Regions from separate parts of the Mus musculus genome. Here all the other regions are reported to be linked to region 5. Evidence: microRNA targets listed by miRTarBase, many of them from high-throughput screens and not tested one by one. Region 5 holds a microRNA gene; each other region holds the end of a gene's coding sequence.

Region 1 (4,065 bases), not on the chromosome of region 5:
GTTCATGCTAGTAATCCTACCACTTGGAATAGATACAAAGGCAGCAAGAGTACAGCAAGTTTTAAGGTTAGCCAGAGCCATGTATCCACTGACTTACACTAACCAGGAATTAGTATCTAAGAACAAACACCTCCTCCAAGATGGACTATGATCAGTATTTCCCTTTAGGTTTCTACAGCTTAGCATGGCATTGTTTTAATTTGGCACTTTTTATTTAAGGTTCCAGTGCTGGAAAACGGTACTCACCCCAGTTTGTAAAAGCTGCCAAGTTACTTCACTGGAATGGTCACTTCAAGCCTTGGGGAAGAACTGCTTCATATGCTGATGTTTGGGAAAAGTGGTATATTCCAGACCCAACAGGAAAATTCAGTTTAATCCGAAGACATATGGATACCTCAAACATAAAGTGAACTACAATTTAAGCTAATTGCGTCACTCAGGAAACTCTGGAAGACACACTATGTGGGAAGGTAACAGTTGTAGGGCTTGAGTTTCTCTATACCAACCACAGAAAACACTTCAGCTGGGTAGAAGTCATAGATATCCAGATGACTACCACGGCTCCATCTGCCTTACCAAATGTTTGCTTTACTATACTGCTGACTTGAAGGACAGAGAACTCCAGCATTTAACTGCATCTAGCTGCTGTAGGTAGGAACTGCTGTTTGGTTTTAGTTTTGTACCTTGTGGCCTGGTTTGTAAATAAAATCTACATTTTCCAATAGACCTATTTGCTTCCCCATTTTTCTTTGTACCTTGTGGCCTGGTTTGTAAATAAAATCTACATTTTCCAATAGATCTATTTGCTCCCCCCCCCCCTTTTTTTGAGACAGGGTTTCTCTGTGTAGCCCTGGCTGTCCTGGAACTCACTTTGTAGACCAGGCTGGCCTTGAACTCAGAAATCCATCTGCCTCTGCCTCCTGAGTGCTGGGATTAAAGGCATGCACCATCACGCCCAGCAACTTCCCCATATTTTTAAGAATGTAAACACCGCTGTTCTTCCGGAGTTCAATTCCCCCACATCAGGTCACAACTATATCATTCTATTTCCAGGAGACCCAATGTTTTCCTAATCTTTTTTTCCCCCCCAGATTTTTTGTTTACTCAAAGAGGTCCTTCTGAGTGCTGGGTACCACCATACCTGGCTATAAATAAATCTTAAACACATGCAAGCAAATACTTGTATTTTATTTTGAATTTATAACATGATACATATTTACAAGATGTACAGTTTATATCATACACTAAACTACACAGCGTACAGAGAGCACGTTAGTGTGTGGCGGTTATATATAATCTGTGGTGAAGTCATAGGTTTCATCCTCTTGACTCGCTCTATCCAAGGCAGACGACCCGTCAGATGGCTTACCTGCAGCAGAGGAAAAGTGACATTTTACATAAGAAATTAAGGGCAATTGTGTTCAAGCTGCTTTTTTATAAGTCTTTCCCAGACTCACCTGCTGTTGATTGCTCAGGTGACAGCTCCCTGGTCTCTTCTACAGGGGCCACATCTGAGATCTCTGCCTGTGGACCAAGAAATTGATATGAAATAGCACATAACTTCTCATTACTCCTATGTAGGTAGGATAGATCAGTCTTGGTGGCACCCCTAACTAAGCACTTGTAAAATGTTAACAGTAGCCAGGCATAGTGGCGCACACCTTTAATCCCAGCACTTGGGAGGCAGAGGCAGGGGGATTTCTGAGTTTGAGGCCAGTCTGGTCTACAGAGTGAGTTCCAGGACAGCCAGGCCTACACAGAGAAACCCTGTCTCGAAAAACCAAAAGTTAACAGTTCAGGGGTCCCTTCTTATTAAAATGTTTCTACCTTTGACCCTCATTCTTTCTACACTGTAATGCTAGAAATTTTATTTCAGCTTTAACCCGAGAAACAAAACTTACATTTCTTTCACCACTACCATTTTCTTGATCGTCAGCATCCTGTTTGTCTTCTGTCTGTCTTGGTGATTCTTCGACTATGTCCTTCTCGTCTAGTATTCCATTTGTCAGGCCCGAAGACCGAAAAAGGATTCTATTAGTTAAATGAGGGCCCTTGAGGACTAGAGGAAATAAACTCAGGTTAACAGATAAGACCTCTAGCATTCTGTCGTCATTCACTATTATGTTATATCCATTTGTGTAACAGAAAAAAACAGAATTTCACCTTGTATGCTGTGTGCATTATTCTTTTCTAGTTCTTCTAGATTAAAGCCCTTCTTCATGACTGCTGCAATATTCTCATTAAAATGCAGAGAATGATTCCAGGATGCAGGGGGATGGCAATAGTAACCTAATGAGGCACTAACATTAAAGACAAGATGTGTCAAACACAGGCCAATCTCTTCATTCTAAGTTGTCTTCCAAAATGCCCATAAAAAGACACCTTACCCTGTCCACTCAGACCACACCAGCTTAGCAGCACTTTCCACATTTGGGCTTCCACCTTTTTGGTGCAGACCTCTTCTTTGAGCAAGTTTAGTAAAAAAATGCAGAGAATCCTTATACTCAGGGACAGTATATTTTAACACCACCTTAAAAATAAAAGATGGGGGCTGGTGAGATGGCTCAGTGGGTAAGAGCACCTGACTGCTCTTGTGAAGGTCCAGAGTTCAAATCCCAGCAACCATATGGTGGCTCACAACCATCTGTAACAAGATCTGACTCCCTCTTCTGGAGTGTCTGAAGACAGCTACAGTGTACTTATATTAATAAATAAATCTTTAAAAAAATAAATAAAATAAAAGATGACCTGTCCCTAATCTATACAGATAAAGAGCAGTTCTTTTACCTGTTCATTATCAGCCTGAGACAGAATGGCACTGGCAGCCTCCAGCGGTCTTAGTTCCTCAATGCTTGCTGGACTCCGAAGGGCAAGTGCAGTGGGGGAGTTACAAGGTGAGATAATTAGGCATGGACTGTCTATGATTGTGATCTGCTTGTCTAAAGGGACAATCTGCATGCTCCTTAAAAAAAAAAAAAAGCCATGGAATTAACAATGACACTGTCCATCTGAGGACAAGACAACATGAAGCTCAGGGTTGGATTGAACAAACTCAGCACAGCAGTTAAGTCAGATCCAATCTGTCATCACTGCTTCATGTTTATGTGAAACCTTACACACTGTAAGATACTGTGCACTACATATCCAAACATATTCATGTTTGCATATATGGCACAGTAAGGTTATTAACTTATTTTTCCAAGACTAGGTCCAACACTATTTGTCTGAGGGAGCTTTCCTCAGCCTTTCTGGGCCTTTCCAAGGAATGCTCTTAGCCCAGCACCAGCTACTGATTTCTTTCTGATCACTGACAGTTCCATTTACCTTGTAAGTCCCATGGAAATCCCAACATTGCAAATCCATTCTTGTTTTAAGCTATTAATGACACTGCTTTTCCCCACATTTGGGAAACCTACAAATAAACATAAACTCGGATTATGCTCAGAAACACATTTTCTAATAGTTGCCTTGCCCACACCAGGCAAGTGTTTCCACTGAACTCTCAGAAGGCCATGTTTTGGCAAGGCGAGCCAGAGTTAACATTTGAGAAACCCTGTCAGTTTTAACAAAGCTATTCACACTCACAATGTCAAGACCCTGACTAAGTACTTATGTGGTAAAGAAGCTGAATGAAACGCACCAATCACTCCAACTTGAATATCCTTTCCACAGGACTGCTGAAAATCTCCAAGAAGCTTCCAAAGGGCTTCCTTGCCACAGCAGATTTTGCTTTGGAATGGAACAACTTTCTTCTTTTTTATCTTTAAACATAAAATATAGCAATTTTAATTCTGGTAAACATCACCAGGTGGAATACAAAAAGTATGACAGCAGAGAGAGTCCAGCTTTCAGAAAAACTGCTGGCCTCCACTACCTTTGCAATTTTTAATGAAATCAGAGTTGGATCTTCATGTTTTTCACTTTCATCAACATTTGTGTACTCATCACATTTCAATCATCACAGATCTGAAGAAACCAGTATTTCCCCCCACCACTAACAACAGCATACCTTGAATGTCTTTCTGTTCTTTAAGTTTGTTGAGGCTTTGAACACCACGGTTGGCA
Region 2 (4,065 bases), not on the chromosome of region 5:
GCACAGTGCCAGTTTATCAGTTTTTGTTGTTATTATTATTGTTGTTGTTGTCCCGATTCGGCCGCTTCCCCCCACACCCCCCCCCGAAAATCCTTGAGATGGGTAAATACTAAGAGGTGAACAACCAGCAGATGAACTTTGGCCCGTTTTTCCAGATATAAAACACAGAGCAACATTCAAACTAAATGAAACCACAGACACAGACTGACAGACATGGGCAATCCAGCATGCCCAGAACCAGAAGCAAATGTTCCCTCAGTGGAAACCAGTGAAAAGCGGGCCGTCTCCTGTCCTCCTCTGACCCTCGGAGCAGTGCTGCGTCCACTTTCTCCTTTCTTGGGTCCTAGAGAGGCTCCACCAGAAAGCAGAATACAGGCTCACCTCCGGGAGTCCAGATGACTGAAAAACAGTCCGAGGTGCTGCTAATTCAGCTTAAGGGCTCAAGTAGGTTAGCGTTTGGTATCCAAATGTTAGGGTGTAAAAATCTAAAAATAAATAAATAAATAAGTCTGCCAAGTTATCCCACAAATTAGGATCTAGGGATAGAAGTCTTCCCTAGGAACTTGTCTTTGTGGTACATTCATCCTGTTCCTACTGTTTGGTTTATTCGACTGTGGTGGGAGACTTGCCTAGCAATCATGTCTCAACTTGCCAGACAGGATGTCAGTTCAACACTGAGGTCTTGGGAACTTAAACTTATTTGACCTCTGTTCAAAATGAAAGTTTTATTCAAAATGGCTTCAGTCTGGTCCCTTCTCTTTCTTTCTTTCTTTCTTTCTTTCTTTCTTTCTTTCTTTCTTTCTTTCTTTCTTTCTTTCTTTCTTTCTTCCTTCCTTCCTTCCTTCCTTTCTTTTTTTCTTCCTTCCTTCCTTCCTTCCTTTCTTTTTTTCTTTCTTTCTCCCCCCCCACCCCGCCAGACAGGGTTTCTCTGTAGCCCTGGCTGTCCTGGAACTCACTCTATAGACCAGGCTGGCTCAAACTCAGAAATCCACCTGCCTCTGCCTCCTGAGTGCTGGGATTAAAGGTGTGGGCCACCACACCAATATCCTTTCAACAAGGTTTTTACTATTTTTCTCTTCTTTTCTTCTTTTTTTCTCCTACTTTTTGAGACAAGATTTCTTTATGTGGCTCTGGCTGTCTATAACTCTCTATATAGACCACGCTAGCCTCAACTCAGAGTTCCACCTGCCTCTGCCTCCTGAGTGCTGGGATTAAAGGTGTGGGCCACCCCACCAATATCCTTTCAACAAGGTTTTTACTATTTTTCTCTCCTCTTCTTTTCTTTTCTTTTCTTCTTCTTTTCTCCTACTTTTTGAGACAAGATTTCTTTATGTGGCTCTGGCTGTCTATAACTCTCTATATAGACCACGCTAGCCTCAACTCAGAGTTCCACCTACCTCTGTCTCCCAAGTGCTGGGATTACAGATGTATAAAAAGAATGATTTTTGAACTAGGCGATAGTGGTGCACGCCTTTAATCCCAGCACATGGGAGGCAGAAGCAGGCGGATCTCTGAGTTCAAGACCAGCATAGCCTACTGAGAGAATTCCAGGATGGCCAGGACTACACAGAAACCCTGTCTCACATAAACAAAAAGTCCAGATGTGTGTGTGTGTGTGTGTGTGTGTGTGTGTGTGTGTGTGTACAGAAGAGAGTGTAGGACCCCTCAGAACCAAAGTGAGAGGTGTTTGCAGAACACCAGGCTTGTTACATAGTTGCTGGGTTCTGAACTCCAGTGCACAAAATTTAGCCACAGTCACCTCTTACCTGCTGAGCCTTCTCTCCAGCCTCCCTTTTAATAACTTTTATAGAAAGGTCCTGCTTTGCTTTACTATTGCTGTGTCAAACAAACAAACACAGCCTGGAGAAGAAAGGACTTCTTTCATCTTACACCCCAGAGAACAATTCATCACTGAGAGAAGTCAGAGCAGAAACTTAAAAGAGGAACAGGAAGCAGAAACTGAAGGGGAGAGACCATGGAGAAATGCTGAATACTGGCTTTTCCCTCATGGTTTGCTCAACCTGCTTTTCTTTCTTCTTTTCTTCCTTATTTTATTTATTTATTTATTTTATTTTTAGGTGTGTGTGTGTGTGTGTGTGTGAGATTTACTGGCACTAGAGTACATGGGAGCTGGGAACTGAACTCTGGTTTTCTGCAAGAGCAGCGCATGCTCTTAACTACTGAGCCATCTCTCTAGCCTCTCAGCTTTCTTCTTATACACCCCAGGTCCACCTGCTCAGGGGTAGCACTGCCCAGAGTGGGCTGGGCCCTCTCACATCAATCAACCATCAATAAGATGTCCTCAGACATAACCCGAATGCCGGTCTGATCAAGGCAATTCCCCATTGAGTCTCCCTGAGATAATAACTCTGGGCTGTGCCAAGCTGTCAGCTCTAGCTAATTAGAAGAAGAAAGAATTGGGCTGGAAAGACAGCTCAGTGGTTAAGAGCAATGGCTGCTCTCCCAGGGTCAGGTTCCAGCATCCACCTGGCAGCTCACAACTGTCTATAACTCCTGTTCCAAGGGATTTGACACCCTGTACAGACATATATACAGTCAAAACACCAATGCACATAAAATAGAATTATTTCTATATATAATTTTATAATACATATATTTATATATATAAATTATTTTTTAAAAAATAGGGGGCTGGAGAGATGGCTCAGAGGTTAAAAGCACTGACTGCTCTTCCAGAGGTCCTTAGTTCAATTCCCAGCAACCACATGGTAGGTTACAACCATCTATAATGGGATCTGATGCCCTCTTCTGGTGTGTCTGAAGACAGCTACAGTGTACTTATATACAAAAAATAAATAAATAATTCCTTTAAAAAAAGGATAGGAAAGTATCAAACACGTGTACACATAATCCAATATCTATTCAAACACCTTAACAAAATCTTGCTGTAATAATTCAGTTGAAGTAAATTTATTAAGAAAACCCCAGGAAGCCAGACGGTGGTGGCGCACACCTTTAATCCCAGCACTTGGGAGGCAGAGGCAGGCAGATTTCTGAGTTCGAGGCCAGCCTGGTCTACGGAGTGAGTTCCAGGACTGCCAGGATTACACAGAAAAAAGAACTGGCTCAGCAGTAAGAGCGCTGCCTGCTCTTGTGCAGGACCCACTTGAGCATCCACATGGAGGAGACGCATGATCACCTGTAACTTCAGGGGATCTGACTCCCTCTTCTGGCCGCCACGGGTTCCTGCATGTACACCGTGCACTTACACAAGCACCCACACATAAAACAAACAAGTGAACATTTTTAAAGCTCACGTAAATTTTTCTATGTTATATTTTCTCAAAATAATTTTAAAATCTTAAGATATACAATTGGATATAATATGGTACAGGGCAGGCCTTTAATTCTAGGATTCAGGAAGCAGAGGCAGTTTGATCTCTTGTGCGTTTGAGGTTAGCCTGGTCTACATAGTTATAGGACAGCCTGGTATAGAGACCATGTTTCCTGTTTCAAAAAAAAAAATTTTTTTTTTGGTCCTGGTGGCACACAGCTGTAATCCCAGCACACAGGAGGTAGAGGAAAGAGAATTGCCATGAGTTCAAGGCCAGCAAAGATGTATAATAAGACCTTGTTTCAAACAAGAACAAGAAGCCCAGCTACTATGCATAATGAGCACAAATTAAGTAAGCTCACCAAGGGGTCCATAGTCATACACAAATGTGTGTAATTGTGGGGCTCATGAACCATGATGACAGACATGTCCGATTCAAGAGAGCATAAGCCAAAGGTGGGGTGGTAGTTTTATTAAAGGATTTACCCTAAGCACACTCCTAGCCTAGTCCCGAGACTACCCACACCCACACTCATCGACTACCATGTCTTCATAATGTCGGAGAATGACGTTCTTATCACTATCCTGATAGAGCATGGAGATGGGCGAGAGCTTGGTGGGGACACAGACAGCCTTGGGGACCTTGGGGTCAGCCATATGCATCAGAGCCTGCATGAAAGCATAATTGGAACTATTTAAATACGTGGTCATTGAGAAGGGGCACTCTCCATGACAGTAATTTGCCATGAACCCCTTAGGGGCGATGACCC
Region 3 (4,065 bases), not on the chromosome of region 5:
TACGTGGACAAGGTTATGAAGGGGTCACGGTTCTTGCCAGCCTTCTCATCGGCTTCCTCCAAACTCACAGAAAATGTGACTCAAGCAAGCAACCCGGCAGGACAGAAGGTTAAAGGAAAGTGGGCCACCTCCACCACCGTGGTAGTAACTCAATTCTGTGCAGTGTTACAAAGGATATTTGTCTCTTGCCAAACCTCCCAGGGCACTGTCTTAGGAACAGGTGACACAGTATTAATTGATGCCCAGCTGTCGCCACACTTAACATTTGCCCCCGGGGGCATCCCTGCATCTGTTGTAGATTTAGGGCTATTTTGGTATTACTAGAGTTAAGATTTATTTAAGCAGCTGAACACCTATGAGCATTATTTCATAAACAGAAAAAAAAAAAAAAGAGGGGGCAAGGAGCTCGTTAATCGACGAACTCTCACCTGAAGCTGCTGAGAGGGGCCAGGCTTGCACGCTATGTGGCCAGCTTCAGAATGACGTAAGCAGGAGAAGCACACAGCTGGCGTGGAACTGTGGGAGAGCACTGACCTCTGCTTCCAGGGCCAGCTCCTCGGGGGTGAAGGCTAAAGGGACTCAGAAGGTAAAGCCATGCAGGACAGAAGGTGAAAAAGCCAAGACCCTTGGGTAGAAAGGCATTCCACTTTACTGCTCTCCAGAAGGGACCTATCCAAGCAAAGGGACAAACAGTAGTAAGAAAGAGTAAAAAAGAGTTTGTCTGCATCTATCTATCAAAGGTTATTTAACCTTCCCCACACAGTCCTTAAAGTATGGGTATTAATTCATTTTCCTAGAGTTCAAAGTAGAAGCATGGAGGTTAAGAGTCGTTTCATTAAGATCCAAACCCAGCCCGTCTCTCCCCATCCCAACCCAAATCCTGGCCTCTCCCCATTACACCCAAGTTGTCAATGTTCTCTTTGATCTTTTCCAAAGGGAAGCGCTGTTACCCAATTTTTAGCCTCTTTCCTAAGGGGAAGGCAAGAGGACACCTGCAAAAGTGTGTATTTCCATATATGCAAATTCTTACTTTACATGAGACTCCCTGCTTTACAGGTCAGCTGCGGCAGGGCCTTTGACTGAGGCACCCTGGCTCTGGCAGGCTGCCAAACATGGGGGCCCTTTACACAGAACTCTCATGGCAGAAAGCCTGAGATTCAAGTTTCCAACTGGGCATCGTGGCAATGGGCAAAATGCAGTGTTTTACAATTTCTACTAATTTCTAAACACTGAATGAGAAGGACCATCAATATCTGTCTCTTTTCCAAGAATAATATCACATATAATAATGACAATCTGAGGCCTGGAGAACTTTTAACCGCACAAAAGCATCCAACACACACACACACAGATATAAAACTGAACAATGAGCAAACAACCCAACTTAAAAATGGGCAAGAATTAGACACTTATCTAAGAAAATATGCAGAGGTCACAGATGTGCAATGTCTATATCATGCCGTTAGGGAATCTCAAAACAGAGACGCCATTAAATTGGCGAGAACGCACCAGCCTACAGTAATAACCCCAAATGCCAGTGAGGATATGTGATCACAGGCCACTCACTCATTGCTGGTGATGGTGCAAGATGTTACCACTGCTTTGGAACACAGTTTGGCAGTTTCTTATAAAACTAAATATACCTTCACATATGCTCCTTGGCATTTACCCCACCCCCACCCCCAAATGAAAACATGACCAGGTAAAAAAAAACCAGCATACAAACAGCATTTTTAGTGCTTTTATTGATGGCTGGCAAAACCTGGAAGTAGTAGAAAGGTCTTCCATGAGGTGAGTGGATCAACAAACATGATACAGCCATATAATGGGGCATCACTCAGGACTGGACATGACACTCAGTCCTACATGATCCCAATCATGACATTCTGGTAGGAAAATCAGTGGTGGCCAAGAGAAACTTTAATGTCAACCTTGGACTTTAGCATCCCTGGGTGTAACACGTGCTACACTGACACAAGGCATTCATTCATAGCAGGAAAGCTACAGAGTTGGAGTAAGAAGTCACATAGAATCTTTCAGTTCATTTGCTCAATACGTATGGAAATGCACAACTACTCTAAAAAAAATAAAGGCTACTTTTTTTTTTAAGTCACAGATGCCAGGCATGTGCCAGGATGGTGGCAGAGTTCCTAACCCCAGCACTTGGCAGGAGCAGCAGCAGGCAGTCTGTAGCGGTGATTGGTTAACCCGCTTTGGCTCCTGGCAAGTCCCACTCAAGCTGCGCCTGCCCAGGAGCTATCTGGATTCTCAAATGAGTCTACATTCCAGCTGATTCTGACATGCCTTAACTAGCTCAATGGCTGGGCACTTCTAGTCCTCTCCGAGGCTAGCATACATTTCCCTCTGGTATTCCTGGCTTAACACCTTCTAAATCTATGGGTTTTTTGTTTTATTTTGTGTGTGTGTGTGTGTGTGTGTGTGTGTGTGTGTGTGTGTGTGTGTGTGTGTTTTGTTTGTTTGTTTGTTTTTGTTTTTCGAGACAGGGTTTCTCTGTATAGCCCTGGCTGTCCTGGAACTCACTTTGTAGACCAGGCTGGCCTCGAACTCAGAAATCCGCCTGCCTCTGCCTCCCGAGTGCTGCCCAGTTACTTATTGGGCAGCAGCCCCACCCACCCCACCCCCAACCCCCAGGGCTGCTTTCCCTTTCAACCTACATTGCTGGATAACTTTCTCCTGCAGCTCTTAAATCTGATCCCTTTCCCCCTCAATCATGGCGATTCTTCTCTCCCCCTCTCTGTCCCTTGCCCGTACAATCTAAAAGTCCCACCTCCATTTTTCTGTCCAGCCATTGGCAATTTTTTTTTTTTTTGTAAATTATCAATTGAAGCCAGCTGAGGACAGGGACCCTCAGGCCTGGAAGCCAGGCTTTGGGAACCAAATTAAGACCTTTGTCTTAGAACCAAATCCCAATAGCAGACTGCTGTGAGTTCAAGGCCAGCTTGGTCTACACAGCTAGGTCCTGCTTCAGACACAGAACAAAACACAGAAAATGAAACTTCCAAACAAAAGAGTGACTCTGCACATTTAAGAACATTTCAAGTATTTTGAGTATTTCTAATTTTGGTTAAAATTAAAATGGCTAAATTCCTATTGCTGCTCTGTCCGGCTTCCCTATTAACAGTTTTCCTGAGTGTAATTTTCATATATGGCACCTTCCACAATGATCCCTTCTTGTTTATAGAGAGGTAAGTTAGTCTTCATAATAAAAACTTTTTCATTTGTTGACCCAGTCAAAAATGATGAGCACTAAACTGAAGCTTCCGACCACAGCGCCTGTGAGGAGCAGGAACAAAGCCTGTGGAGACAGAAGAGATGCTGAGTGTGAGCCTCCGTCCTCTCCACTGCGGACTTTCATTCAGTGTCAGTACATGGGGTCTCAAGCTGTGGCTCAGGCTAGCCTTGAACACTCAGCAATCCTCCTGCCTCAATCCCCTAAGAGCTGGGATTACAAGCATGAGCCATCATGCCAGACTCTAAAATGAACTTTGTAAATTAAGATATTCTGTCTTCTTAGATACAGTAATAAACACACTATTCCTTAAAATAGAAGCCTTTTTAAACAGTTGGAAACAACCTACCCCAAGCTTTTTCCAGGAGAGGAAGTCCTCTCGGCTGAGTTTAAGATAAAATAACCCTGGGAACACAAAAATCAAGCATGTCGATGTGCTGGCGCCTGGAGAGGAAGAAACAGGCCGTGTGAGCTCAGCTGAGAGAGTGATGACTTTATTACCCCTCTGGCTTTTGTGGGGCTGGAGACCAAACCTGAGGAGCCCACCCGTGCTGGGAGACGCTCTTCCACTGATGAAACATCCCCGTCCCCTTTACTACATGGGTTTTTTTAAAGTGGGAAACTTACCAACCACACCAAATACATTTCTAATGTCCGGGACATAGATGGCGAGCACCACGATGATGGCGTTGAGCGCTGCTGTGGTCAGGGAATGTCGGATCCAGGAGAACGGGTAATTGGAGAACAGGATCATCATTAAAGCTTTCCTGGCCTAAGAGCAGGGGAAGGAGGTCAGGCGAAGGGTGGAGGATGGA
Region 4 (4,065 bases), not on the chromosome of region 5:
CTCTCTTTACTTGTTTCTTTTCTTGTTGTTGTTTGTTTGTTTTGAGACAGTTTCACTATGAGCTCTAGCTGTTCTAGAACTCACTGTGTGGGCCAGGCTGGCCTTGAACTCACAGGATGTACCCATCTGTACCTTCTGTATTGTCACTGCATGCAGCCCCATAGACTCTGTTCCCGTGGTTGGTGTTCACTGGCAATGGTTTTGGCTTTGCTCAGATTGGTTATTACTTACAATGTGTGTGGCTTTAACTATTAATTTTAACTTTTTTTCAGGATAAATTTTTACCAGGAGACTCATTTTTGAATGAAGATTTAAATCAACTAATCAAAAGATACTGTAATGAAGCTGCTCCTGAGACACCGCTGGATTTCGCCAAGTGTTTGGAAAGCTCATCCCGGCAGTACAGAGTGAATGGACTGTCTTAGATATCTGCATGTGCATGGCAGAGACACAAGGATATGTGAGGGCCTGTTTCTGTTTGTACAAGGAAGACTTCCTAAGAATGATTATTTGAGAACTGGAGCAGGGCCACAGAAGACCCTGCTCATTGGCTTGCTTTTCATGCCTTGCTCGGCCTGCCTTTTTATACAGTCCACACCAACTTGTCCAGGAATGGCACTGCCCATCAGTCATGAAATCTACAAATGCCCTGCAGACGTGCCATAGTCTAGTCTGTGGAGGCAGTCCTTCAGTTGAGATTTCCTCTGCTCAGGTTACTCCAGTTAAGTAGACAAAACCTAAACAAGACAGCTATTAAATTCTCTTTATAACTAAAAAAATATTGTTATTGCAGCACCATAGTTGAAAGCAAATAAAATATTTTGTGGGTTTTTTTTTAACCTTCATGGTTTTTTTTTTTTATTTGATTTAATTTGATTTGAATTTTTTATGAATTTATTTACTTATTCACTTTACATCCCCATCGTAGATCCCTTTCCTTCCAGTCCCCCTCCCCCCATGACTCCTCCCTCCCACCCCCTCCCTGTCATTTCTAAAGGAATGAAGGTTCCCCCCTGGGTATCTACCCACCCTGGCACCTCAAGTCACTACAGGACTAGGTACATCCTCTTTTAGTGAGTTCAGACAAGACAGCCCAGGTAGGAGAACAGGGTCCACGGGCAGGCAACAGAGTCAGGGTAGGACCAGCTCCGGTTGTTGGGGGATCCGATGAAGACCAGCCTGTACATCTGCTACATATGGGGGGAGGGCTAGGTTCAGCCCTCTGTGCTCTTTGGTTGGTGGTTCAGTCTCTGGGAGCCCCCAATTTTGTGAATTTTTTGATAAATAAGTTAAAGTTATACTCTTGTTCATTGGCTCTTGTTGAATGACACAAGGAATGACCAAATCTGACCTTTAAGGAGGAATGAGTGCTCTCATTGCTAGTGTGAGAGAGAGTATGAGTCAGAATCTAGAGTCTTTGAAGTTGGGTTAACTTATTACCTGAGAGTGATAGGGGAAAATTGCTCAGTAAGATGAAAGGTCCAAGATTTCCATTGTGCCATAGGAATATCGGTTCCTGTCCAACCAGGAAAGTGTTTTTCTCTTAAATTCTTTGTTGTTGTTGTTTTGTTTTGTTTTCTTTTTTGAGACAGGGTTTTGTAGACCAGGCTGACCTTGAACTCAGAAATCCACCTGCCTCTGCCTCCCAAGTGCTGGGATTAAAGACGTGCGCCACCACCGCCCACCTTAAATTCTTACAGATAAAAACTGTATATGTTTATAAATAGTTATAAAGAACTATTTTATATAATAGCTATTATCATTGTAGAAATGACTTACAAATACAAAATGTGTATGTAAATACTTTCTGCTATTAACTGAATAAAGTAGCTTCGATTTTTACTTCCTAGTCTTACGAGGTTTTGTTTGTTTTTTATTTTAGTGAAAAGCAGCTCAGCTAAATAGACTTAGTTCAGTGCCATAGAAACCAGTCATTCTGGGACTCAAGAGTTCTTTCCTCATAAAAATGTGAAAGCAGAAAATCCCTCCACCCAGAAGCGTCAGGGATGGTGACATTTTTTTCGTAATTAAGTTGGGCACGTGGTATGTGGGCAGAGAAGAGCCGCACAGTTACTGGAGGAGAGAGCAGTGGGGGAACAGTTACCAGCTGGATTTGAATTTGAGGGGATTCTTATGTGTGAGTTCTGGAAGTAAGTCTTTTTCTCTCCTTTTTTTTCTTTCTGAGACAGAGGCTCACTATAGACTCTGGGCTGCTCTGGAACTCAGATCTGCCTACCAGGGATTAAAGCCATGCCCAGCCTAAAAATATTTCTGAAGGCCTATTTTTAAGGCTTTATTGTTTTTTGTTTTGAAACAGGGTCTCTCCCTATAATCCTAGCAGTCCTGGAACTCCCTATGTAGACCAGACTGGTCTTGAACTCCCAGAGAGGCTCTTGACTCTGCCTCCTCCTACACCCAGTTAAGGTTTGATTATTGATGATGAGAAAACGTATGGTTCAGCATATACATACTTTCTTTAACCCCACTATTTGAATAAGAAATTCTAAGAATGTTAGAAATATTTGCATATACAACCAAAAGATCTGTCCATATGTTGGAAATCAATTATTTTCTAACACCGATGCATTCATATTTTACTTCATCAGCATCAATTGTATATAAGTGAAAAGTCAGTGAAAATAGCTAATTGACAGGATATTTCATTACTGTACTAAACCTTGTCACATTTGGACCATAAATCTATACAGTTAGCATTTCAATAATGTGAATATGTTGAACATTACTTTTCTTATATAGCCTTATATTAATGTTTTCTTTGTGGAGCAAGTATTATAGTTGTTAATAATCAAAAGCATATATATATGTATATATATATATATGTGTGTGTGTGTGTGTGTATCTCTATATATAGGTATATATAGGTATGTATAGAGATACACACACACACACACACACACACACACCCCTTGAGGGTTATATTAAGCTACAGCCTTAATTTTTTGAAGACAGATCTTGTGTACCTATTATACGACGCACTTAAAAGTGAAGTTTGATAGTAGGAGTAAAACAGCCTTGGTGCTTCATGGTCTTTGATGCTAAGTCAGGTAATTCACGCTACTTAAAAAGTGAGGCATTACCCAGTTCAGTGTCAGAATGAATTATTTCCAAGATCAGAGGCTGTAATCCGAAATTAAGCACAGAACGAGTTCAGTCAAAGAGGTGTCAAGTATCTTGGTAATGGAGGTTCAGCCATTTGTTTATCATACTCTCGAGTTAGAAGTCTCTGGTTTGTGGTTCCTTTTAGGAAGAGATCCCAGAGCACATGGGAGGGGTAAGAAAGGTCCAGACTTTGTCTAAGACGTTGCTGTCTGATCACTTGGGACCTGTGCGTTCGCCTTTTCTGGCCTTTTGTGAGAGAAGCGTCTGTAAAGGGGTTAAAAGTGCATCTGTGATCTCTTACCCAGGGGCTGTGTCTTACACTGCCAAATATAAGATTAAAAAAAAAAATCTCCAAAACCTTGTTCTTTATTGGCAGGGAAGCTTTAAATGTGGTTTAGAGTTAATTCTATTTTACTGCAACAAAGCTAACCCTTACTCCTTTCAGAACCCAGTCTTGGGCATCTGCAGGTATACTGGGAGGGGACAGAGAGAGAGGAAGATAAGTTTTAAAGAGAAACTTGGAGATGGGAAGCCATTATGAAAACAGGTTTTGAGTCCAGATTCCATTTTGATCACCCGGACACTCTTAACTCATGCTTGTGCTGTGGATGACATGTGAAGGTCTTACCTCAGGAGGGCATTACCATCCGATAGCATCCTTACTGCCCCCAGATTTGCCCCCAGTACCCCCATTCCCAGACACTCCTTAGTATTCTAACCAATTAATGAGTTGTAAGTGGACAGCTGACTGAGAAGAACAGAGTGTCTTCACCTTCCTCCTGAGTATCATGCTGGCTTCTTTAATCCTTTATTGCCAGGTAATTTTTGTTTACAAGTTGAGCTGCCAACTTTGACATGGGTTCACATGTAGAAGGTGCAAAGTCCTTGTGCACGCAGGGAAACCAAGAAAGTTAAACATGCAGGCTTGTCTCTTCAAAGGAAAGG
Region 5 (4,065 bases):
CTGAGCAGATTCTGGTTGTTATTGTTGCTGTCTGTGGCACCCTGAGTGCCTGCCCCAACACCCTCTAGGAGACTCTGGGGAATTTTCCAGAGCTTCAGGGCTGAGTTGAGCACAGATCTCAGAACTCCTAATGTTTGTTTCTTGTTCTCCTTCCCCAGCCTCCTGAAAACACGGATCCCCATCAGCCTAAAGTGGTCTGGGAAATGCTTGGTCTTCCTTACACTGATTCCTGTGTCTTTTTGTTGGGCTTTGGGTTGGAAAACTCTAGAAGAACCTAGATCAAATTTTAGAATTGAACCCTGAGGGTCCAGGCTTAGCTCACCCAGCAAGGCAGCTTCCCTGGCCTATGCAGCACAGCCACCTGCCTTACGCTGAGCTCTGGCTCCTTCAGAGGCCTCTGGCATTACCAGTGCTTCTTGGACAGTGTCTTGTTTCTGAACTTTAGGCCACAAAATAGAACAGACTGGGGTGCCTTTGGACCCAAGGGTAGGAGGACAGAGCTGTACTCCCAACTGAATTAGGAGGCAGAAAGACTGGGGGGTGGGGGGTGGGCATGGCATCCACAGAGAGGCAGGGGTGTGGGAACCCTCTGAGGGTGCCGGGCAGGGGCTGTGGGCCAGGCCTGGGAGCCTCGGGGAGGCCGGCAGGCACAGAGAAGGAGGCCTCCTACCAGACACTGTCTAGACGCAGCAATTATTGTCAGCTCGGAACACCCAGGCTCTGCCTGTGCAGCTGAAAAGGAGCTTAACAAAGAGAGAGGGAGGAAGAAGAAAGCGGAGCAGAGCCGCTCTGAGCCTGCCTGCCCGCCTGCAGCCCGCGGCTCTTTCTCTGCTTGGGCTCCCCCCCTCTTTGTGTTCCACAGGCACTGTTGAGGGGACAGCTCCTCACAGCTCAGAGATGCCTGATGGGGACAGAGCAGGAGGTGCAGCTCTGGGGCCCTGGCCAACTCTTCTGAGCTAGGCTTCTCAGAGTGGATGCTGGGAAGTCTGGGTCTTGTCCACTTTAGAGGGCTCTAGCCTACACCCTTGTCATACTGATGGGGAGCCTTGGGTCACGGAATGACAGCCTGACACCTACCCTCCTCTGCTTCCAAGGAGCCAGGCACTTTGTAGATAGGGTTAGGGGTGGGGGCTCAGAGAACACAGTCAGCCGTGGGGTGGCTTCAGGTCTGTCCTTTAGATCTGGGCCTTATTCTTCTCACCCTTGGGAGGAGGTGAGAGGGCAGGGCCAGCATAGCTTTGATGGGAAGCCCACCCTCCCCCGCCAGGACAGGGTTTCTCTGTGCAGCCCTGGCTGTCTTGGAACTAACTCTGTAAACCAGGCTGACCTTGAACTCATAGAGACCCTCCTGCCTCTGCCTCTTGAGTGCTGGGATTAAAGGTGTGTGCCATCACTGCCTGGCTGGAAGACTGTTATTAGCCGTGGCAGGCCCTTCAGAGCTGGAAGATGAGCACTTTGGATTCCATATGTGTCCTAGAACCTTCCCCCTCCTCTCAGTTGCCATTCCCGAGACCCCCTTGGCGTTGGCAGCAGTGGTGCTCAGAGTGTAGGGGTGGAGCCTCAAGGCCCTGGGTTTCTGCAGCTAAAAACACAGCTCAGGATCAGCAGATGCTCAGACAGAGAAACTGAGACACGCTGTCCCTGAACTCAGTTGCAAGCCACCAGCTGTTCCCCTTATCTCCCTGTTCCAGGGCATCTGGGCAGGGGCTCTGCTCTCAGCCCAGTCTGTAGCTCTAACTCTACCCACTAGCTTAGGCTCATGGAAAGGACCTACTGTGTGCTCAACTCTGCTCTCCTCTTGCCAGCAGTTGGGGTTGGGGGCCGGGTGGGGAGTGACTTGGTGGGTGGGCACCTTCTACATCCTGTGGAGGTAATGAGCAGTCCCAACCTACTGCTGGGGAAAGGCCTGAAGCTGGTCAGGGCTCCAGAGTGACTGGGTAGGGGTAGCTGGGTCCCTCTCAATCCTTCTCAATTAGAGACAAGGCCCTCAGAGCAAGAAACATGCATACCTGCCCTTACATCACACCCGAGGCCTCTTGATCTGTCCCCAGGACCTTCCCAGGCTCCAGGCATCGGCCTGGCCTGCCCGAGGCTCAGCCCTGCTGGCCACACACTGTCTTGTCTGCTGTGTCTCCCAGTACTCAATTATAGGAACAGAACCCTCCTCTCTCCCTCTGCACCATTACCATAACAAACCTGATTCCCCTGCCTATACTGCAGACCCACCGGGATCAGCCGGTCCACCAGGATTCTAGCATATTCTGCAATGCCACTGCAGCTCCCTCAGCCCTCCCCACTGGGTCTTCCTTTCACCTGGCGCTCTGAGCCATCTCTACCAGACCCTCAAATATGCGAAGCTGCCAGCCTGCTCCTGTGAGTTGTCCCCTGCCTCCTGAACAGCACCAGCCCTCCCTGTCACATAGCCAGCCCAGACAGCTTTCTGATTCCTCCCGCATCTGCACTAGGCTGGTCTTCCACCATGGCACAAACCAAGCTTGAGTTCAGCCCCCAGTTCCTAGCCTCTGGGAGCTTTGGAGACCTGTTCTCTCTGCTCCATAAAAGCCTGCCAAACCTTCCAGAGGCAGGAATTGATAGACCACTTGGATCTGAGGCCTGAAGACTGCCAGTCCTGTCTTCCCTGGCTTCGCATTAGTTGAGTTAGTCATCCCAGTAGATCCTCATGCACCCTTCTCTAGGACACTTCTGACCCCTGCTGAGATCACACACACAGCCAGTCTGCCTAAGTCCCTGATATTTCAGCCTTCTTGGGGGCACCCAATGCATTTTTTATGGCTCGCCACGCCTGCGAGCCCTGTGGGCCAGCTGTCTCTGGCTTGTCTCACTCTGTGAACCCAGCTCCTGCTTCTGAGGTGCCTTCCCAGCCTGACACCACCTAGAGGTAGGAGAAGTGACTTGGGCCCACACCCCCCCCCCCCCCCCCCCCGTAAGTGAATCCCTCTCGGCCCAAGCACCAAGGCAACCTCTTTGTCCTCTTTCCCAGGGCCTCCATGCAGACTCCCAGGAGTCACCGTGAAGGCCAGAACAAGGCTGTGCCATTGTGCTGCCCACTGACCTGAGAGCACTCCCAGGAGCTGGAACTGCCTTGTGCCCAGTTCCTCCCTCAAGCCCCCATGCAACTAGGCCAGTCCACAAGGACAGGAGGATGGTAGGTCCAGCAGGGGTGGGTACCCCACATCTATTCCTCCTCCAGAATTGGCCCAGAGCGTTCCCCAACCCTTGCTGTGGGATATCTAAGCCTCATCTTCCTTCCTCCCTGCCCTGCCTGTCCTTTCCCTCCAAATATCTATCCCTCTCCTCTCCTCTCCTCTCCTCTCCTCTCCTCTCCTCTCCTCTCCTCTCCTCTCCTCTCCTCTCCTCTCCTCTCCTCTCCTCTCCTCTCTCTCCTCTCCTCTCCTTGTTCTCGCCTCTCCTCTCCTCTTTTTCTCTCCTCTCCTCTCTTTTCCTCGTCTTCTCTGAGTCCTCCCTGGGCCTCCTTCCTTTCTTCTTCCTGGGTTAAAAATAATCAACTTTCTGGGAAGCGGCAGTTCCCGCTGAGCCGCCCTCCCCACACACGGGAGCCCCTGAGAATAGCTTTCTGCGGCTCTCCACTGAACCCCTCCCTCCCTCCTCCCTCCTTCCCTCCGCCCCCTCCCCGCCGGCTGACTAATAAGCCGGGCAGCCGGCTCTGCCAGCTCGCTGCAAGGGCGTTAACTGCTTCGTGCCCGGGTGGCGTTCAGCATATAGCGACAACAGGAGGGTTGTAGGGCACCAGGCCACACGGAGCCGGAGCTCTGGGCCCGTAGTAGACGTTTAACTAACCCAGCTCTGCTAGGCCGAGTGGTTTGGTGAACTTTGTCATCTAACTACCGCTGCGAGCCTGCTGCTGCTGCGGCTGTTGTGTGGCTAGCTAGTTCCTAGCTTAGGAGGAAGGGGTCAGTGGGATCAGTCAGGAGAGGCACCCAAGGGTCGGGACCACGTGAAGGGTGTGACTGGCCTAGTGACTCCTTGGCCCCGGATTCTGGGAACCATTGCGACGGGGCAGAGGTCAAAGGCAAGGCAAGGCTG
Region 6 (4,060 bases), not on the chromosome of region 5:
TACACAAGAATGCTACAGATCCCGAATCGGAAGGAGCAAGATCGGGCCAAGATGGCGGTGATAGAATATAAAGGGAACTACCTCCCTCCCCTGCCTCTGCCTCACAGAGACAGCAACCTTACTCTCCTAAACCAGCTGCTCCTGGGACTGCAGCAGGACCTGCACCATAACCAGGACGCAAGCCTCCACAGCTCCTGTACAGTTCAAACACCAAAGACTTAACTGGAGCTGGAGAGTGGTGCATAGGTGTGGTGCCCGTGTTCGTGGGTCTTGGAGCTCGTGTAGTGTGTGAGGCCTGGAAGTAGCATTGTAAAGCCCCCTCATAATGAGACCCAGACCTCCCTGCTGACTCACACGATCCTCTTTGCACAGAAGATAAAAGTCTTAATATGAATATAAGATATTGACTTTCTTGTCCTTCCCTAGGATTTATGGAAAGTAAGAGGCATCCAGATGCTCAGCCTCCTAAGACAGTAAATTCACAACTTAGGTTCTAAATTCTAGGTCTAGTTTTGCTTGTTTGTTGGAGGGGAGGGGATCTTGCTGTGTAATCCAGACTATATCCACCATGCAGCAGTCCTCCTGTCCCTGTGTTCCCAAGTGTTCACCACCACACAGTGCCAGTTTGCTTTGGTTTTGTTTTTTCTGAGACAGTTTCTTTGACTGTCTTAGAACTCTGTTTGTAGACCAGGTTGGCCTTGAACTAAGCGATCCACCTGCCTCTGCCTCCTCAGTACTAGGATTAAAGGTATGGGGCACTACCTCCTGGCTCAGTTTGCTTATCTCAACACTAATTTAGATGGGCCCTGTACCTCTTGATTCCAAACCATCTTCCTATGGTGACTGGCTGACGTCCAGCATAGAGACCCACCGTTGGAATTCCTTTTTTGCTTTTATAAGTTATACATGAGAATCTTTATGAATCCTATGAGACTAGGTTTCACCTTGGCATCTTCATACATATCTACCAATGTCTTTTGACCATGCTTACCACCACATGCATGCACCCTATTGTCCTGCCTATTTCAACTAGTCCCCCTTCCACTTGATGTCTTTTTATGTGTGTGATTATGTCCTGGCGAGTTTCATTAGTCCTGCTTACAGGAGCATGTGTGTGTCTTACCAATGGCTGTACCACTGTCTGTCCATCCACAAAGGAGGGTGCAGCCGCCTGAGCTTCTAACCCCCTTCTTAACAGGATTTTGACAGGCTACTATGAGAGCAAGCATTCAGTCCCAAGAGATTGCTTCCTGATAACTAGCTGTGTGAGCCTCTGTACAGGAATCTTCAAATAACATGGTACCCCTAAAACTGAGAATTGTTTCTAGGCAAGGTCACATTTGTTTCACTCAATGTCTGAATGGGTTTTGAATGTGGACTCAAATAGATGTATCACCACCCTGATCATAGATAGGGCTGTAGGCATCTGCCAGGATGTTGGCCTTCCGGATAAGTTCCTTCCTCTTAGAGGGTGTGAAGAGGAAGGTTGATAGAGAGTGATGCATTAGAAAGTTAAGCCTGCTGGGAATTTCCTGGAAGCTTTTGTTGCCAAAAGTGGACCTCTGTGGGAACCCAGAAAGAGGAAATCCTGTTTCAGAATGGCCAGGGTATGTGAGAAGCATGGAGCTTATTTATATCCACTAAATATGGGATATGACCCATCCTGGCTGCTGTTCTGTATGTTCAGAGACTTGACCAGGGAGTCATGGAAAGAAGTTCTCCTGAACAATTAGTGCAGCACCTGAAGGTAGAAGGTCACTGTGGAAGCAGAAAGACATTAGCTTCAGTGACACTATTCTAAGACTCTTTGCCCTACAGCTGCTTACACTAAATCACCTGGTCCCGGCAGAGCTGTCACTCTTCCTTCTGCATAGAACTTGACATGTTTTTTGTAAATCTTTATCCCTTTTCCTATCTTTTGAGCATTTACAAGTTAGATGCCTGAGTCATGACTTGTTCTAGGAAAAGCCCTTCCCTTAAAACCAAATCTTGGAAGACTTTGCAACAGGTAAAATATGAAAGGGCTCTCAGATTTTTTTTTGAACACCCACCATTTGGAGCTTTAATATTTCCCTAAATGTTTTATACTTCTTTATTGAGTAGGGAGGGTACATGCATCTCAGAATGCAGATAGAGGCCAGAGGACAGCTTTCCCAAGTTCTTCCAACCTGTGGTTCCTAGGTATGGAAGACAGGTCATCAGACTTAGTAGCAAGTGCCTTCTGAGCTGTATCTCTACCCCTTCTATTAGAAGCATCCGAATCTCCAGCATCACCTTACATACTAGAGATTGCATACTTCAAGCATATTTGCAGTAAATCTGACCCTGGCTAAAAGTGAAGCATCAGCAGTCAAGGAGCTCACAGTTGTACAGGGCACTACATATCTAATAATCTGGCCCCCCAAAGTTGACAAATCCTAAGACATCTACTGAAGGCTTTGTTAATCTGCCTGTATTTGTAAATAACTGCCTTTGAGTAGACATTGCCTAAATACCAAGCCAAGCCCTTCTCATCGCTTCGAAAGAGTGGTTCTCCACATCGAGTTCCAGATTTTGATCTACACAAACATGGATCCTCTGTGTAGTCTTGGCTGTCCTGGAACTCACTCTGTAGGCTAGGCTGGCCTTGAACTTAGAGATCTTCCTGCCTCTGCCTCCCTTGTGCTGAGATTGAAGGTACATATTGCCATACTCATGGTAAGGATTGGGGGGGAGGGTTTCAATTCTTTACAATAAGGTTGACAAACTAATGTCCCTCACCCACCCAAAAAACCTAACACACTTACTTAAAAGTTTAGCACTATGAACCCAATACCTACCTATCATTTTTAAACCGAGTAACTGTATCCCTGTATCTTAAGTGGAGTCATGTCCTGCTTTATCTCCATTAGCAAATATGCAATTGTTCCTAGTGGGATGTCCCAGGCACAAAGTTGTCATGATAGGAATGTGGTCATCTTAATTGCCTGATAGATTTCCAGTTTTTTATGGGACAAAGTCCAGATTTCTTACACTGCCTACTAATCAAGCATCTGCTTGATGCTCCACTACGTGGTGCCTCTCAAGCTCATGCTGTAGAAGCATAGAACACACCTTATTTGGGTGGTTTTTCTGGCACAGGTCCCTTTACACTTTGTTCACACAGTCCCTGTCATCCAGAGGCTCCACTTTGACCTACATAACTTGTACACAAACTTTCACGTGGCTCTTCTGATCATCCCCATTCCTAAACTCATAACTTTGTCACACAAGATATGCCTGCTGTGTTTATGTAGTACACTGAAATACAACATTGCTTTATAGTTCCCTATGGTATAGGGCATTAGACTGAAGACAACAATGAAAATAGATTAAAAACTAACAAGTTAAAGTGCTTCCAAACTGCAATCCAAGTTGTAATGAAGTGTGTTTGAGAGAGATTACTGCCATTTGAGACTGTCATTTCTTCTTATTGCTACCAAAAGCAGTCTAAAACATCAAGCTTTGTACTACTAAAATTAGTGTTCCTTCCCCCACCCCCAAAAAAAATTTTTTTTTAACTAGGATTCAGATAAAGATAAAAAAGCATTTTGCATCAGAACATGTGGCGGTCAATATGTATATAAATTGCATATCCTCACAAGACATTTTCCTTCACATTTGCATTACCTTTAACAATGCTGCTTCCAGAACCGGCGGAATGACTCGATAAAATGCCCACCTCTTGAGCATCAGGTCCTGAAGTGACATCCCAAGCCACACAAAAAGCTAGGTGTGGGGCCAGGAAGATGGTTCATTCCGTAAAGATGGTGCCAAGCCTGATAACTTGACTCCTAGAATCCACATAGTAGAAAAAAAATAACCCCCACAACTGACTACACATGCTGTGGCACACACTACTGATAGAAATTTAAACAAACAAAAACAGAAGCCAGGTGTGATGGTATATCCTGTTATCCCAGTGCTGGGCATTCAGGGTAGAGATATGCAGATCTTAGAAGCTCACTGGCCAGCCAACTTAGCCAAACTGGTAAATTCTAGGCTCAGGAAGAAATCCTATCTCAAAAAATCCTGAGGAGGC
Region 7 (4,065 bases), not on the chromosome of region 5:
CACCAAGAAGCTCCTGAGTCGGGACATCCAGGTAACTTCTCTCTAAGTGCCCCCACCAAAGGTGACCCGGTAGCCCTGTCTGCAAGGAGAAATAATAAATCCTGGGTGCTTTATAGACCGTGCCAGATGGTACAGTGGGAAAGAAGAGCACTCAGCATTTCACATGCTCAGCAGTCAAGGACATGGCCACAGAATATGGAGCTCTGGGTACATGTCACACAGAGAACATTTAAGAAAGAAGACCCAGACAGTCTGTTTGACCTGAAATGTCCTGCCTCTGCAGAGCTTAATAGTAAGATACATATGCATCGTCACTCAAATGAGCAGGCCTTCTGGGAGTTGAAACTGAAATGTGCTAGGGAGGAGGGCCCTAGTAGACTTGTGACTACAACTCATAAACTATAGAAGAGAAAGTATAGACAACTAGCGGGATGCAGGGAGTCCAGTTGTCTGGGAAAAGCAACAGTTCTCGTCTTCATGTTCTTTTCCTTTAGGTTGGAAATACTGGACATTCCTCGGTGGAAGATGCCCAGGCCACAATGGAGCTGTACAAGTTGGTTGAAGTTGAATGGGAACAGCACCTGGCCCAGAATCCTCCAGAAAATTAGCAATCCCAGGGAGACACATGCAGTAGACCAACCCACAGTTCTTCCAGCTTCTCACCTGCAGAAGCTAGAATCACTGGGGAGAGGGGCTTGGCCAGAGGCTTAATACCCATTGAAATTTCATCTCAGCTATTTTGGTCACTGTGTGGTTAAGTGTCTCATGGAAGAGGAGAGCTTTCATGTTAAACCCACCTCTAGGTCAGGCAGGTGGCTCAGACCTGTAATCCCAGATACTTGGGAGGCTGAAACAGGTTATAGATGTAAAGTCTGCCTGGACTACAGAATTAATTCTAGGTCAGTGAGACCCTGTCCTAACATAAAAAGAGGGCCAGGGGTAAAGCCCAGCGCTAGAACACTTACCTAGCATGCATAAACCACTAGGTACAGTCTCCAGCAGTGGGGTGGGGGAGGGTAGAAGGAATGGAATACAAAGTCATGAACCATAACTGTTTACTTCTTTAGAGTGCTAACCACATGTCACAGGGTGCTTGTGCCAGTCAGCCTTGACTTTGAGGAAGCAAGGCACACCAGGGAAAACAGTGTCCCACACTACCTTCTCTATGGGACACATGTCATAGATATGTCTCCTTTTGGTGGGGAGTAGGGTAAAGGAATTGAGTTGCCAGGGCTGGCCTCAAACACTTGGGCTCAGATGACTTCTTCCTCAGGCCCGAGAGTAGCTGGGACTACAGGTGTGTGTTCACCACTGTGCCTAGTTCTTTTATTTTTTTTATTTTTTTTGGTTTTTCGAGACAGGGTTTCTCTGTATGGCCCTGGCTGTCCTGGAACTCACTCTGTAGACCACGCTGGCCTCAAACTCAGAAATCCCCCTGCCTCTGCCTCCCGAGTGCTGGGATCAAAGGTGTTGCGCCACCACGCCCAGCATGGTTCTTTTAATTTTATGGGATTTTTTGTTCTAAAGTAAATAGCAGTATCTTTTCACTTTCAGACAAGTCCTGATTGGAGCTCAGCATAATGGTCTGTAATCTCAGGACTCTGGAGGCCAAGGCAGGGAGATCAAAAGTTTAAGACCAATCTGAGTGCATAGAAAAAGCTCTGGGTCAGAGAAGTAGAAACAGAGAAGGAAAGAATTTTGTGGTTGCTTGCTGAATTTTATAGCCACGTTACATAGCACTGACTAACAGTGTTTACTTAATTTAGGTTCCACTTAGTTTAAAAAGAATTTGTATAGTTTTAATCGTCTTTCAGCCTTTTCAGCCTTTCACCTTGCAAATGCAGCCTCTTAGTTCATACGATTCTTTTTATGGATTTTTATAATAGAAAACTGGTGGGTTTGTTTTTTGTTTTTTTTTACATATAAAGATCTATTTTTATTTTACTTATGTGTATGTGTGTGCTTTCAGGGTCCAGGAGAGGGGTCAGATCCTGCAGAACTAAAGCTTCAGGCCGTTGTGAGTCTGGGAAGTGGGTGCTGGCGGGGAGGCGGAGATCCTCTAGGAGGAGCCACCTCTCCAGCTCACGTAGTGGATTCTTTATGGCTTTGTATTAAATAAGATCTCTTCGTGTGGAAGGCTGTGTAGTCCTGTGGGGATTTCTAGGCTCTCTGGATGGGTCACTGGAGCCCTTGTTTGCTGGATGATTTGAAGCTCTGGTAAGCCTTTGTCACACATAGGGCCTTAGCTTTCCTGTCACACTTGAAGTGACACCCTAAGCCGCGCAGGGTAATGTGGTGGAGTGAGTCCATGTACATAAGGGAGGAAGGGAGCTTGGTGACGCAGCCTGCCAGCTCTTCCTTAGTGGTACACACCGTTGTTTCCTGAAGGTGAGTCACGGGTCTGCAGCATGGTTGTCCCTACTCTGTGGAGCCGTGTCCCTGTCCCTTCACGATTTCATTTTATCATTTACTTCTTGGAGTTTTAATACCAGATCCTGAGTTCTACCCTTGGTTTATATGGGTGGTAATTGATTATGGGGGTGAGGGTGGCTGTGGTAAGACTGCCATCTCCGTGAGAGCTTCACTGTGCCCTGCCCTATACTGAGCCCTTGAGCTGCACTGTGTCACTCAAAGCTGGTTGGGATTTTTTTTGCCTCTATGTATAACTGCACTACTTGTGTGCCTGGTGCCCATGGAGGCCATTGGGGTGTATCAGATCCCCTGGAACTGGGTTTACAGACAGTTGTAAGATCTCACATGGGTACAGGGAATCAAACCCAGGTCTCTTGCAAAAGCAGCCAGTGCTCTTAACCACCGGGCCATTTCTCCATCCCCTCAAGGCAGTATTCTAACTTAACAGTTGAGGAGATTGAGGTTAACCGAAAGGCAAGGTGTCTCTCCCAGGCCAAGGATGTAGAGGTTGCATTGGCACTCAGGTTTGGTGAGTAGGCCTGAAGTCCCTGCCTTGCTGTTAGCATCTGAGTAGTATCTGGCAGAATATGGGCACTACACCCAGCGTCTGTTCTGTACTGGGTGGTGTGTTAGATACTGGAAATGGAAATCTTTGGCCCTGAAGAAGAAAAGCTAAGAAACCTCACTGAGCCACACATTTGCTGTCTAGAGCCAAGATTTAATGCTGGTTAATAAGATGAGCAGGTGTGTATTTTTGAAAGACAATGCTGTCTGCTGTAGGGAATCTGCATTGGGGAATGGCCAAGAGGTGAGCCATCTGTGGAGTGGGAGGAGAATGTGAGTATCAGAGTAGGTGACATTAGCAGGATCAGGAGGTTGGGACAAGAGAGGGATAGATGTGTTGAATACTTCAACAAAGCCCAGGGGAGGATTCACCAACAAAGGGTTTGAGAAAGGTAAGGTGGGTAGTTTCTGGCTTCCTGAGCAACTGGATAGCCAGCTGGGTAGTTGAGACAAGTTTAGCAGATGGAAAGAGACCTGAGCCTAGAACTAAGGTTTTTAGTCAACATTGCAAGGCTGGGTTTTGGAGGCTCATATCTGTAATCTTGGCTCTCGTGAGGTAGAGATAGGAAGATCATAAGGTTTGGGGTTTTGAAGTGGTCTCACTATGGAGTCTCGGTGAGTTGAAGGCCAGCTTGGTCTACAGAGTGAGTTCCAGGGCAGCCAAAGCAATGAAGAGAGACCTTGTCTCTAACAAAACACCCACCATCAACCTCTGGCCTCCACATGTGTGCACAGGCACATATGTGTGCACTATGAACACGTAGGCACACATACACAAATTGAATGGGCCCCACATACCTTCAGTGCTCCAGAGTGAGACTCTAGGGTAGACATAGATCAGAAGACTTGTGCATGCATAATGTTAGCCTGAGTAAGAGGTTTCTCAGTCCAGGGCCTGGGATCCTAGCCCAACATTTCTGAGTAGCAAGCTGCACAATAATCTCTGCCAGAGCAGCTAGTTCCCCAAAGGCCGTGCCCTATGATTACACCCTATGGAATCCTGCTCAGTTAAGTGTCTTAGTTTGGGTTACTACTGCTATGATGAAACCACAGCCAAGAGCAAATTGGGGGAAGAAAAGGGTTCATTTG

The links. The annotated mature microRNA mmu-miR-3089-5p reads UGAGUUCAGGGACAGCGUGUCU and lies in region 5 at 1,629-1,650, opposite strand. An mRNA with a match to its seed (bases 2 to 7 or 8) in the 3' UTR can be bound and repressed. Matches are read on the target gene's strand: a 7mer-m8 pairs with bases 2 to 8, a 7mer-A1 pairs with bases 2 to 7 and ends in A, and an 8mer does both.
Region 1: miRTarBase lists Glt8d1 as a target of mmu-miR-3089-5p. Seed matches in the 3' UTR shown: 7mer-A1 at 863-869 and 8mer at 891-898.
Region 2: miRTarBase lists Gdf3 as a target of mmu-miR-3089-5p. Seed matches in the 3' UTR shown: 8mer at 3,558-3,565, 7mer-A1 at 3,045-3,051 and 7mer-A1 at 3,016-3,022.
Region 3: the mRNA of Slc38a6 is a reported target of mmu-miR-3089-5p. Seed matches in the 3' UTR shown: 8mer at 2,945-2,952.
Region 4: the mRNA of Noc3l is a reported target of mmu-miR-3089-5p. Seed matches in the 3' UTR shown: 8mer at 1,616-1,623.
Region 6: miRTarBase lists Mrpl17 as a target of mmu-miR-3089-5p. Seed matches in the 3' UTR shown: 7mer-A1 at 2,600-2,606.
Region 7: miRTarBase lists Isg20l2 as a target of mmu-miR-3089-5p. Seed matches in the 3' UTR shown: 7mer-A1 at 1,391-1,397.

What each region holds. Positions count from the first base shown.
Region 1 is chr14:31,011,266-31,015,330 of GRCm38, forward strand. It overlaps Glt8d1 (glycosyltransferase 8 domain containing 1), which reads left to right. Exons shown (of 10, transcript NM_029626.2): 10 at 220-1,176. The coding sequence ends at 410. Gnl3 (guanine nucleotide binding protein-like 3 (nucleolar)) reads right to left here. Exons shown (of 15, transcript NM_153547.6): 7 at 4,010-4,065; 8 at 3,641-3,761; 9 at 3,325-3,412; 10 at 2,788-2,962; 11 at 2,388-2,530; 12 at 2,164-2,300; 13 at 1,902-2,059; 14 at 1,458-1,524; 15 at 1,168-1,369. The coding sequence ends at 1,287. It overlaps Snord69 (small nucleolar RNA, C/D box 69), which reads right to left and starts at 3,086; the gene lies at 3,028-3,086. LOC115488429 (a small nucleolar RNA gene) reads right to left here and starts at 3,961; the gene lies at 3,883-3,961.
Region 2 is chr6:122,602,495-122,606,559 of GRCm38, forward strand. It overlaps Gdf3 (growth differentiation factor 3), which reads right to left. Exons shown (of 2, transcript NM_008108.5): 2 at 2,909-4,065. The coding sequence ends at 3,812. It also overlaps a transcript of Apobec1 not described here. Among named protein-coding and RNA genes, the nearest start is that of Apobec1, 2.1 kb to the left of the region's middle.
Region 3 is chr12:73,351,708-73,355,772 of GRCm38, reverse strand. It overlaps Slc38a6 (solute carrier family 38, member 6), which reads right to left. Exons shown (of 16, transcript NM_001037717.3): 14 at 3,878-4,022; 15 at 3,600-3,694; 16 at 1,728-3,316. The coding sequence ends at 3,236. Among named protein-coding and RNA genes, the nearest start is that of Gm40442, 49 kb to the left of the region's middle.
Region 4 is chr19:38,785,905-38,789,969 of GRCm38, reverse strand. Noc3l (NOC3 like DNA replication regulator) reads left to right here. Exons shown (of 21, transcript NM_021315.2): 21 at 273-1,842. The coding sequence ends at 425. Among named protein-coding and RNA genes, the nearest start is that of Noc3l, 31 kb to the left of the region's middle.
Region 5 is chr2:30,718,807-30,722,871 of GRCm38, reverse strand. Mir3089 (microRNA 3089) reads right to left here and starts at 1,662; the gene lies at 1,579-1,662. Gm14488 (a long non-coding RNA gene) reads left to right here and starts at 1,685. Exons shown (of 4, transcript XR_866106.3): 1 at 1,685-2,899; 2 at 3,002-3,166. It overlaps Gm39782 (a long non-coding RNA gene), which reads left to right. Exons shown (of 3, transcript XR_866107.2): 3 at 159-1,309.
Region 6 is chr7:105,806,019-105,810,078 of GRCm38, reverse strand. It overlaps Mrpl17 (mitochondrial ribosomal protein L17), which reads left to right. Exons shown (of 3, transcript NM_025301.2): 3 at 1-4,060. The coding sequence ends at 222. Among named protein-coding and RNA genes, the nearest start is that of Mrpl17, 3.0 kb to the left of the region's middle.
Region 7 is chr3:87,938,744-87,942,808 of GRCm38, forward strand. It overlaps Isg20l2 (interferon stimulated exonuclease gene 20-like 2), which reads left to right. Exons shown (of 4, transcript NM_177663.4): 3 at 1-31; 4 at 495-1,943. The coding sequence ends at 608. Among named protein-coding and RNA genes, the nearest start is that of Crabp2, 7.9 kb to the right of the region's middle.